Tribolium castaneum: one gene and its partner. The protein of the gene in region 2 purifies or fractionates together with the protein of the main gene of each other region. This does not show direct contact. Links are inferred from orthologs where the notes say so. Each region holds a gene or a part of one and is shown on either strand. Other genes may lie near its edges. The genes, in order: calnexin and gamma-glutamyl hydrolase.

Region 1 (4,395 bases), on a different chromosome or scaffold from region 2:
TCTCTATCGTCGTCTTCTGCATTTTCAGCTTCTACTTCATCTTCTTCTTCTTCTTTACCTTCTTCTTCTACAACATCTTCAGTCGTTTCGTCAGTCTTTTTATGTTGCGCTGCTTGTCGAAGCTCCTCTTTCTCCTGTCATTGTCACTTATTAACACCGCAAAATTTAATGCAATAGCCAAAATACCTGAATTTGACTAGCAGAGGATCCAGGCTTGCAGCAAAGGTATAATACAAAAACAACAGGGATGCCTAGTACGATAATGTATACTCCCCAAAGCCAAGGGTAATCATTGGTCAAGGTAGCTAATTTTTGAATTACGCTTTCCTATGTCAAAACAAAGAAAACTATAACTAGCAGTACGAAAATACCTCTTGAATGCAGAAGTAGAGGTACCATATGTAACAACAAACCGGTATGGCGCAATAAACGAAATATAAGAACCACGGTACAGGTTTATAGTTTAACTTTTTCATAAGACGACCCCACAGTGTCCTCTTATTTAGTAAAAAATCACAAATATAATAAAATTCATTTAAATTAAACAGATACTAACCGAATCCTTGGCGATCTTTTGCTTCTTTTTTTCAAAAGTGGCGTCTGCCCAATGGTTCGCAACGGTAATATCGTCGGTAATAATAATATTGTCGAAGAAAATGTCCTTTGACATTGACCATAACTCAAATCCAACAGCGGTCTGAAAAAAGTTATTTGTCCAAAGATAAATTAATCTTGAATGAATTGCAAAAATACAATTCTTTATTTAGGTTTACAAAACATTTTTATCACAATACGAACGCAAATTCGCCAAAATAAGCATAAAAACGATTGGGTGTGGCTAAGTATATATTACTTCCTTAGTTAGCATATCTCACATAGCAACTAAATCCTTTTGTAGTGACACAAACAATTCTTTTTTGCAACATGTTTTGTTGAAGGCAACAATGCAATAATCAAATACGCAGTTTCGGTAAAAATATGGAAATTAAACAACTACAATTCTGCCAAAAACCAAAGATAATAAAAAAAAATCGCAAAAATAAATGTGTCAATTTCAAGTTGGCTCAATTTTATCAAGAGGCAATTCTTTTACCATTTTCTCACTGTCCTAGGCACTCTAAAAAAATTGCTAACAAAATTAGAAGCTCAGAATTTGTTATTTTTGTACAAAGCATATCGAAATATACTTTTCACAAATTCTGGAAACTGGAGAGGAAACTAGAGCTGACAGCCAAATTTTGACTGCAGATTTGTAAACTATGTTCTAATAGTGTACAAAATCAACTGATAAATTTGAACAAGAAGAAAAAATAATGTAAACATATCGGCACCAATAATTACAGTTACATAAACAAGATAATTTTTTAACCATTTACTTACAACAGTCTGCATTTTAAAGGGATGCTTATCTTCGAAGAACTCGGGATTGGGGATCCTCCTGGGCCTCCACTTCCCCTTATAATTAGGATTATCGATAAGCGGCGCCCTCCACTTCCCCTTATAATCGGGATTATTGATAAGTGGGGGCTCCCAAGGCCCACACCCGACAGCATCCTTACAAGCGGGATTATCAATAAGCGGTGGTTCCCACTCCCCGTCCATTTCCGAATCCCAATCTTCTGGTTTCTTTGCATCAGGATCGAAAACATGCGACGGTTCATTATCCAGCCAACCTTCCGGTTTCACCGCTGATTCATCAACAATCTGAGCCGGCGCATCCTCATCCCAATCGTCAGGTTTCACGGCATCTGGGTCAGGGATTTTCTCCCTTTCATCCCAATCCTCAGGTTTCTTGTCATTAGGATCGTCAATTTCTTTCGGAGGATTCACTGCCGGGGTGAAATCCTCAAGCAAACTTCCCGAATTGACCACTTTGTTGTCGATTAGGATCTCGAAGGTGTTGTCAGGGTGCAGGACAAGGGTGAACAAGTGGGGGAGTTTGTCGGAGAAGACTTCCTCAATGCGGTCTTTGGGTTTTTTGCAATGCTTTTCCTCGACGCTCCCGTTGAGAGGGTTGCGGTGCTTGAAGATAAAGTGGAGCTTGTGGTCGTTACCGCACTTGTCGGGGCCGAACATGATCGAGTAGGGGGTTTTATCGTGGAAGTTGTTCAAGTTTTTACTGGCGGAGTCCTGGGTGAGCAGCTTCAAGTAGGCTCCGCCACATTCTTGGCCGTCTTGGAATATTACTTCATATTGCACGATTAATGGTTTAGTATCAAAAATAAACGGTTTTAGGAGAGAGGAGGCAATAGCAGCGTGTTTAGCCTTTGATTTAAGCACTAAACCTTTGTCGCCCACTAGACTGTCTTTTTGGGTTGGTTCAAGTTGCCATTCACCGTCGTATTTTGCGATGTCTTCGGAAATCCCTTCTTTCTTCGCTTGGGATTTTATCCAACGTTTCGCAAACTGGTCTGGATCGTCGAAATGCTCGGCGAAATAGACCTTTTTCGGGTCAAGGGGGCTCGGACTTTCGTAGGGGATATCAATGTGTGATTCTTCCGGTTCTACTTCCACAGTAGCCTCGTCAGAATCGTCCACTTCGTCACATTTTACCGCCGAAAATATCAACAATAACGTGATTACTGCCGGAACGAGACTTCTAAGCATTTTGTGATCATATATTGTCCTGCAAACCAAACCGGGCACTAATTATGTGTCGTGATTACAGGATGACGAAACGGAAGCAGTATTTACTAATATAAGTCAGGGACTAATCCAATTTAAAAAATTAACCTGAAAGGTTAGTGAACGCACTTCCCAATCGATTAGTTACGAAATTACGCCAAATATCGACAAAAACGCACTCTCTTACCCAACTATCGACACGCTATTACTACAAAATGCACAAAAAAGCCGACTTCACGATGAAATAATTAAAATTCTAGAGACCGACAAAATAAAATGACATACCTAACCTCAAAATCCGGAAGTAGTTTTACACAGCACTCTTACAACACTAGCTTCAGCACCACAGTCTTAACTCAAATTGGTGTTTACTTAGGCTGTATTTCATTTATTATCAGATTATTTTTATTGTAGTTCTTGAACACCACGTAATACACCGCATTTATGAAGAGAATAAACACAAATTCGCCGACCAATCAGCGTCAAACAGATGGCAAAGTTGCGCTCAGTTCAAAAATAGGCGGGGAAAAAAAGTACAAACAGTTAAAAAATGAAAACTTTATTCACCAGTGGTACAGAAACGATCACAGTCGTACAAACCAAATAAAAAATGAGCAACAGGTGTTGGTCTTTGATTTAAAATACTGAGCTTGTTTTGGCCCTGATATAATTACAAATCTTTGGCTTTTAATTTCCTCAAAGCTGTCTCCATTCCCAACTTGCCCGCAATCACAGCATGACGTTCGATTTTATTCCAGATAGTTGCCATCATCAAAGTGTAAAACATAAAAAGGGTGATTAAAATTTTCAAAATGTGGTAAATAAAATTCAGATTGTAGCCGAAAGGTAGGTCAGTTGCAAGTGTCGTAACCAGCAACACGATTAAAACGAACGTAAAAAACCAGTACAAATATTTATGGTTATTCAAGCCCCTGAGTGCGTCATCACAGATTTCTATGCTCTCTTCAAGGACAGTTTTCTTCATGTGTTGGTCGCTTTTCAGCGACCTTATCTCGCTCTTTGTGACGATTAAAGTCGCAGCGATTGCTTCATGGTCCGAGTAACTGTACGCACATCCGGGGATTTTGTGTGGTAACGGCAATGTGTAGCTTTTTAAATCGATTTGTAAACTTGAGCCTGGATGATACATGATATAGTCGATTCTTTTGCCAGGAATGTTTTTCTTGAGTAAGGCCACGGGTGTGTAACTATTAGTGAGGCTTTCATTTGTCGCCACACAATTCTGCACCGTTTCTCCAGCTTCACCAAACGCATCTACAAGTCCCGGAACACTCAACATTATCCTGTAGGCTAAATCTCCAGGTTCGGTATTTAAGTCCCCGGCCAGGACTACTAGGTCGGCGTCTCCAGACGTCATTTGGATAAATTGAGCGGTATCGAAAGATTGGAGCACTCTGTGAGCTTGGTATTCATCACAATTTCGGTCGTATTCTGCGTGCAACTAAAATTATTACTCTTTGTGTTGTTCATCAAGCAAAATAAATCTTACATGTGCAGAGTAGACGTTGACGGTGTAATTGTTCACCTTTAATTTACATAAACCCACGCCCTTTCCACCAAACCAGTCACCATGGTGGATTTTATGAATGTAACCATTTACTGGCCATTGGTGGAAAAAAACGTCCTCCATCGGGTGTCGCGATAAAATACAAACGCCAGAGCCCGTGACTCCGCTACAACTCACCTTTACGCTTGTTTCAACTGAATTTTTGAATTTACCTGTAAAAATAGTGAGAGTATGGTAACACC
Region 2 (4,404 bases):
TAATGATAATGGACTTTCCCCTTGTATGTCAAAAATGGTGGATGCGCCGGGAAAATACAACTTTCGATTTTTATTTTATTGTGTTCAATATTTACGCCTAGCAGCTTAACAACATTGTAATTGTTGGTAATAATTCAATAAATTATCGACTTGATTGCGTTATTTAATAAAACGCATGCAACGTAATAACACAGCTACTATAGGCTTGAATTTGTTATGTAATTAATTGTGTAATTATAAATAAATGTAATTAAATGCGTACGCCAATTAAACCCCCAAATAAAAACTTGTGTTGTTCTCAAACACACTCGTAAAAGCACGGGAAATAAGGAAGTTGCTAAAATTTAGTAGCAACGAAGAGGGTAAATAATGCAGTGTAATATTGCAGGTAGGTGGCAATAATTTGCTTTCTAGTCCAAGTCGGAAGAACGTAATAACTAATTACAGGCAAAGGTCAAACACCACGACATGTTTATCTTTTGTTTCACCTCACGAAGTCTCGTGTATGTCCTTTAATTAGGACAGCAAGAACAAATCCCTCCGAGTTAACCGGGACAATAAACCAGGACAAAAATGATCAAAATTTCAACACAATTAAAAAAAATTAACCTGCGACAAACTCCAGATGCAAAGCTACGTCCTTCGATTGGCAATTGCCTCGGATGTCCCTGCCCACCGCCCCATACATCAGCACCTGCATACCCAAACATATGCCCCACAGAGGGTAATGAACTCCCTTCTCGTTAGTTTTGACGGCTAATTCATAAAGCTGTTTTGCTGCCTCGCCATAACCTCCCGTCTCATTAAAGTAGGTCCCTCCGCCGGGAAATAGAATGCTGGTTAATTATGGAGTTATGGTGATTACTGATTATTTAGCACAAACTCACCCGTTGGTATAATTCACCACCCGTTCGTAATAAGCCGCATCTTGGCCGATCCTGGAAAATAGATTTGGCAATTCAAAGTATTAGAAATATGGGACTGTTTACCAAATGGGCAAAACTCGAGCACCGCTACTTTCGAGGATTTTTATGTAAGAAGCTACGATGAAGCTGTCGGCGTCTGGATAAGCATCCTTAACTAAATAAGCTTCTTGGGATAAAATCCCAATGATGGGAGTCTCTGCAGCATTTATGTAACTCGTGAGAGAGAGAATTAATAGATATTGGAACATGGTGAAAGTCTATCGTCTACTAACATATCGCGTTTACAAAACAGCTGAGACAGCTTATCTAAAAGAGGAACAGTACGAGTATTTATCTCTCCACAAACAAAACGAGTGTGGAAACATTTTGTAAATCAATAGCTTGTTCAAAATTTTACTTATCAGCGATTTGTTTTTACAACAGCGGCACGGAGAAAGATAAACTATTGTTGTCAGTGAATAGCGGAAATAAAAAACAAATTGGTAAAATAGTTTATTTTAATTTGTACAGTGGAGGGAATACTTTAAATAATCCGTTCTGTAACAAACAAAAATAGAGATCACAAATGTTGGACACGAGTTATTTGCAAGACGTGCAGCTTAATAAAAATTATACCTTTTTTTTATTATTTCAGCTGGTCAATAGAACGTGTAAACAATTTTGTAACAAAATACGGAGTAAGAGTTTGCAGTAATTCCGAAAATTTCAAATATTTATGTACAAATAAAAACGTAAAAATACGACTACGCATCACAAAGATAAACAAAATGCTTTTTAGAATTAAATTAATTCGCTTTCCTCGAAAAAAGTACCTACACATCTTTGACCCAATTAAAAAATGTTTGCATTTGATTGCTCCACAAACAAAGCCTTTTAAATAAAATAAAGTGAGTACATAATGCGTTTTGACCCAGTTCTGAATACTTGAAATATAAATAAATGGAGTTGAATAATTAAAAAATATACTTACCCTTCGAAAAATCAAAGTAATACGTTGCATTTACGCACCTTCGAACATTATGTTATGATTTTGGGCAAATTGCTGATTACGTTTACAAAAATTATGACATTGCAGATTAAAACATGACTCTAAACACCATTCGTAGGCACGGTTGGTAAACATAAAACATCAATTAAAGGAAATATTAGTATTTCAAGGCTGACGAGCAGACGAGCAGAAATAAACATAACAGTTGTGAGAATTCAAAAAATTAAAAGACAAATTCTTAGGCAAATATTTATTCAAATGTTACTCGAACACTAGTCACTAACCTTCGAACAAAAATTAATTAGGATCATCGTCCACTCTAAATAAACTTTTCACCCCGAGCATTATTTTATTAACTTTTTTATAGCCAATTTCTCCCACTGTATAAATCTCACACTTCAATTCATTCTGCAGTCGGGGAATGAATATTTTCCTGCAGAGATTAATTCATGCTTTTTTGGATTCGCAAAAAATTAATTCATTCATTACTGCATTTTTTAGGTAATTATTTCGGAATGTAGGTGCTAAGTGCTATAATAATTGCACTACAAGTTCAGCTTAAAATCAATTGGTCTATTCTGGTTCTGACGTTATGTAATGTAATTCTATTGCCATTTTGTGCAAAAACGGTCAAAGCAAGGGTCAAAGGTCAATCCAATTCACCTACCGTTGGAGGAAAATTCAAAGAGCGTTTCCCCAAACATGACACATTTCTTTTATTAAAATATTTAAATATATAATAGTCCATATCATCTGAACAAACTGTCATTTATCTTTGTATTTATGTAAAATATCGTTCTTTCGCTTGTGCCTAGTTTAAGGAATGTGAATTCTCGTTACAAATAAAACAATATTGGTCACAATCCTAGTCACAACAAACTGCTTTTAAATAAATTAAGTAAAGTCAGTTTGTTAAATAACGTCTTTTGCAGCTGCAGAAGGAGCAGAAAAAAAAACTGCCGAAAATTAAGCTGTTGCCAAACGCCTCTTTTATTAAAAATACAAGAACAAAATGTGAATCAAAATTAGAATTAAGAAACGCACTGACTGTTATGTAACAGTCTCCAACTTGTTTTACTGATGAAAAAACTAAATTACGTGTATAAATGTTAGGTTCTTACCAGTCATATTTATGATAGCTCAAATTTGCAGCAAACAATAAATATTCTGACGCCAGAATTTTAAGAAAATTACTCTTGACATATTACCTTTAAAGTCAGAAAAGACATTAATAAATTAAAATTAATAAATTTATGTTACCCAAATAAATTATGTAATATGTCTCTCGTTTGTGATTAAATTCTTGAATTAACTCTAATACCGCAGTTTCTTTGAGGTCGTGAAGGTGATTTTAACGTTAATATTGCTACGTCATTGCTAAAATCGACGACCAACGTCGCGACGCCCGACGTCGCATGTGCGCCAACCTTGAAACGCATTAATTACTATACTCACTCCCGGTAAAATTCTTATGAAGCAAAACTATTAAAAATAGAGAAAATAAGGCAAGTATCAGTCTTTTCCTGTAATAATATGAAAAAAACTACATTTTATTGTTAAACCAGATAATTTTTATACAAAAAATATTAATGTCTTTAAGAAGACTAATTATAATCTTATCTTTAAGACTACCTTATCTCCAAAACGACAATTTAATTATTATTGAAAAAAATATTTTGAATTTTTTGCCTCATGTGTTGGCACAGCTGGAACCTGTCAATTGTCAGCAATTGTGTTTTGAGGTTATGGAAGCAAAAAATTAAATGTATCGTTTAAAATTATTAAAATTTCTGGCACAACAAGCCGTAAAAAGTGGCAAGCCACAAAAAGCAAATACATTGCTAAATATTAAGCAATACCCACACCTGCTAAACTGTAAATTTCGGGAAAATGCCCAAACCGAAGTTCTAACCTCCAACACACGATTATTCTCACATGCTGCAAATATTCCACAAGAAAAAACCGAGCAGGAGTTTTTAGTACGTCTCAAAAATGACCCTGACACCTTTGGCGACCCCGAAGAAAGGGAGGAAATTTACGAAAAAGACCTGGAAGAGGAAAAGGACTGGTCCGAAAAAACAATCCCCTTGAAACGGCAAAGCACAAAACAGTACGCCGACATGATAAAAGCACTGATCAAGCAACACAAAATCAAGGAAGCAATCGACGTGGTTGAGGTGAAAATGATCAAGGAAGACAAAGTCAAGCCAGAAAATTACATCTACAATTTATTAATCGGCGCTTGCGGCCGTGTGGGGTACACGAAAAAGGCGTTTTCTGTCTACAACCAGATGAAAAAACGCGGCTTGAAAATCACAGCTGGCACGTACACAGCGTTGTTCAACGCCTGTGCCAACAGCCCCTGGCCAGAAGACGGCCTAACCAGAGCCCGAAAGCTGCAAAACATAATGATAGAGAAAATGTACGAACCGAACGACACAAATTATCACGCCATGATCAAAGCGTTCGGGCGCTGTGGTGACCTCCCAG

The links.
Region 1: the proteins of gamma-glutamyl hydrolase (region 2) and calnexin purify together in Homo sapiens (affinity purification with mass spectrometry; 3 studies listed by BioGRID and IntAct, with this or other methods). This does not show direct contact. The link is inferred for Tribolium castaneum from reciprocal best matches to the Homo sapiens genes GGH and CANX.

Annotation. Positions count from the first base shown.
Region 1 is NC_087402.1:5,189,771-5,194,165, forward strand, and holds the start of calnexin, read right to left. Parts: upstream 3,112-4,395; 5' UTR 2,916-3,111; exon of another isoform or gene 2,911-2,915; intron 2,908-2,910; exon of another isoform or gene 2,813-2,907; intron 2,627-2,812; 5' UTR 2,608-2,626; coding exon 1,381-2,607; intron 698-1,380; coding exon 557-697; intron 328-556; coding exon 187-327; intron 135-186; coding exon 1-134. Other genes in the region: nSMase (putative neutral sphingomyelinase), read right to left, coding at 3,296-4,087, 4,136-4,319, 4,366-4,395. UniProt on the Homo sapiens protein: Calcium-binding protein that interacts with newly synthesized monoglucosylated glycoproteins in the endoplasmic reticulum. It may act in assisting protein assembly and/or in the retention within the ER of unassembled protein subunits.
Region 2 is NC_087394.1:32,516,956-32,521,359, forward strand, and holds the start of gamma-glutamyl hydrolase, read right to left. Parts: upstream 3,001-4,404; 5' UTR 2,050-3,000; coding exon 1,935-2,049; exon of another isoform or gene 1,897-1,934; intron 1,443-1,896; exon of another isoform or gene 1,175-1,442; coding exon of another isoform or gene 1,123-1,174; coding exon 990-1,122; intron 939-989; coding exon 888-938; intron 837-887; coding exon 610-836; intron 1-609. Other genes in the region: pentatricopeptide repeat-containing protein 1, mitochondrial, read left to right, coding at 3,678-4,404. UniProt on the Homo sapiens protein: Hydrolyzes the polyglutamate sidechains of pteroylpolyglutamates. Progressively removes gamma-glutamyl residues from pteroylpoly-gamma-glutamate to yield pteroyl-alpha-glutamate (folic acid) and free glutamate.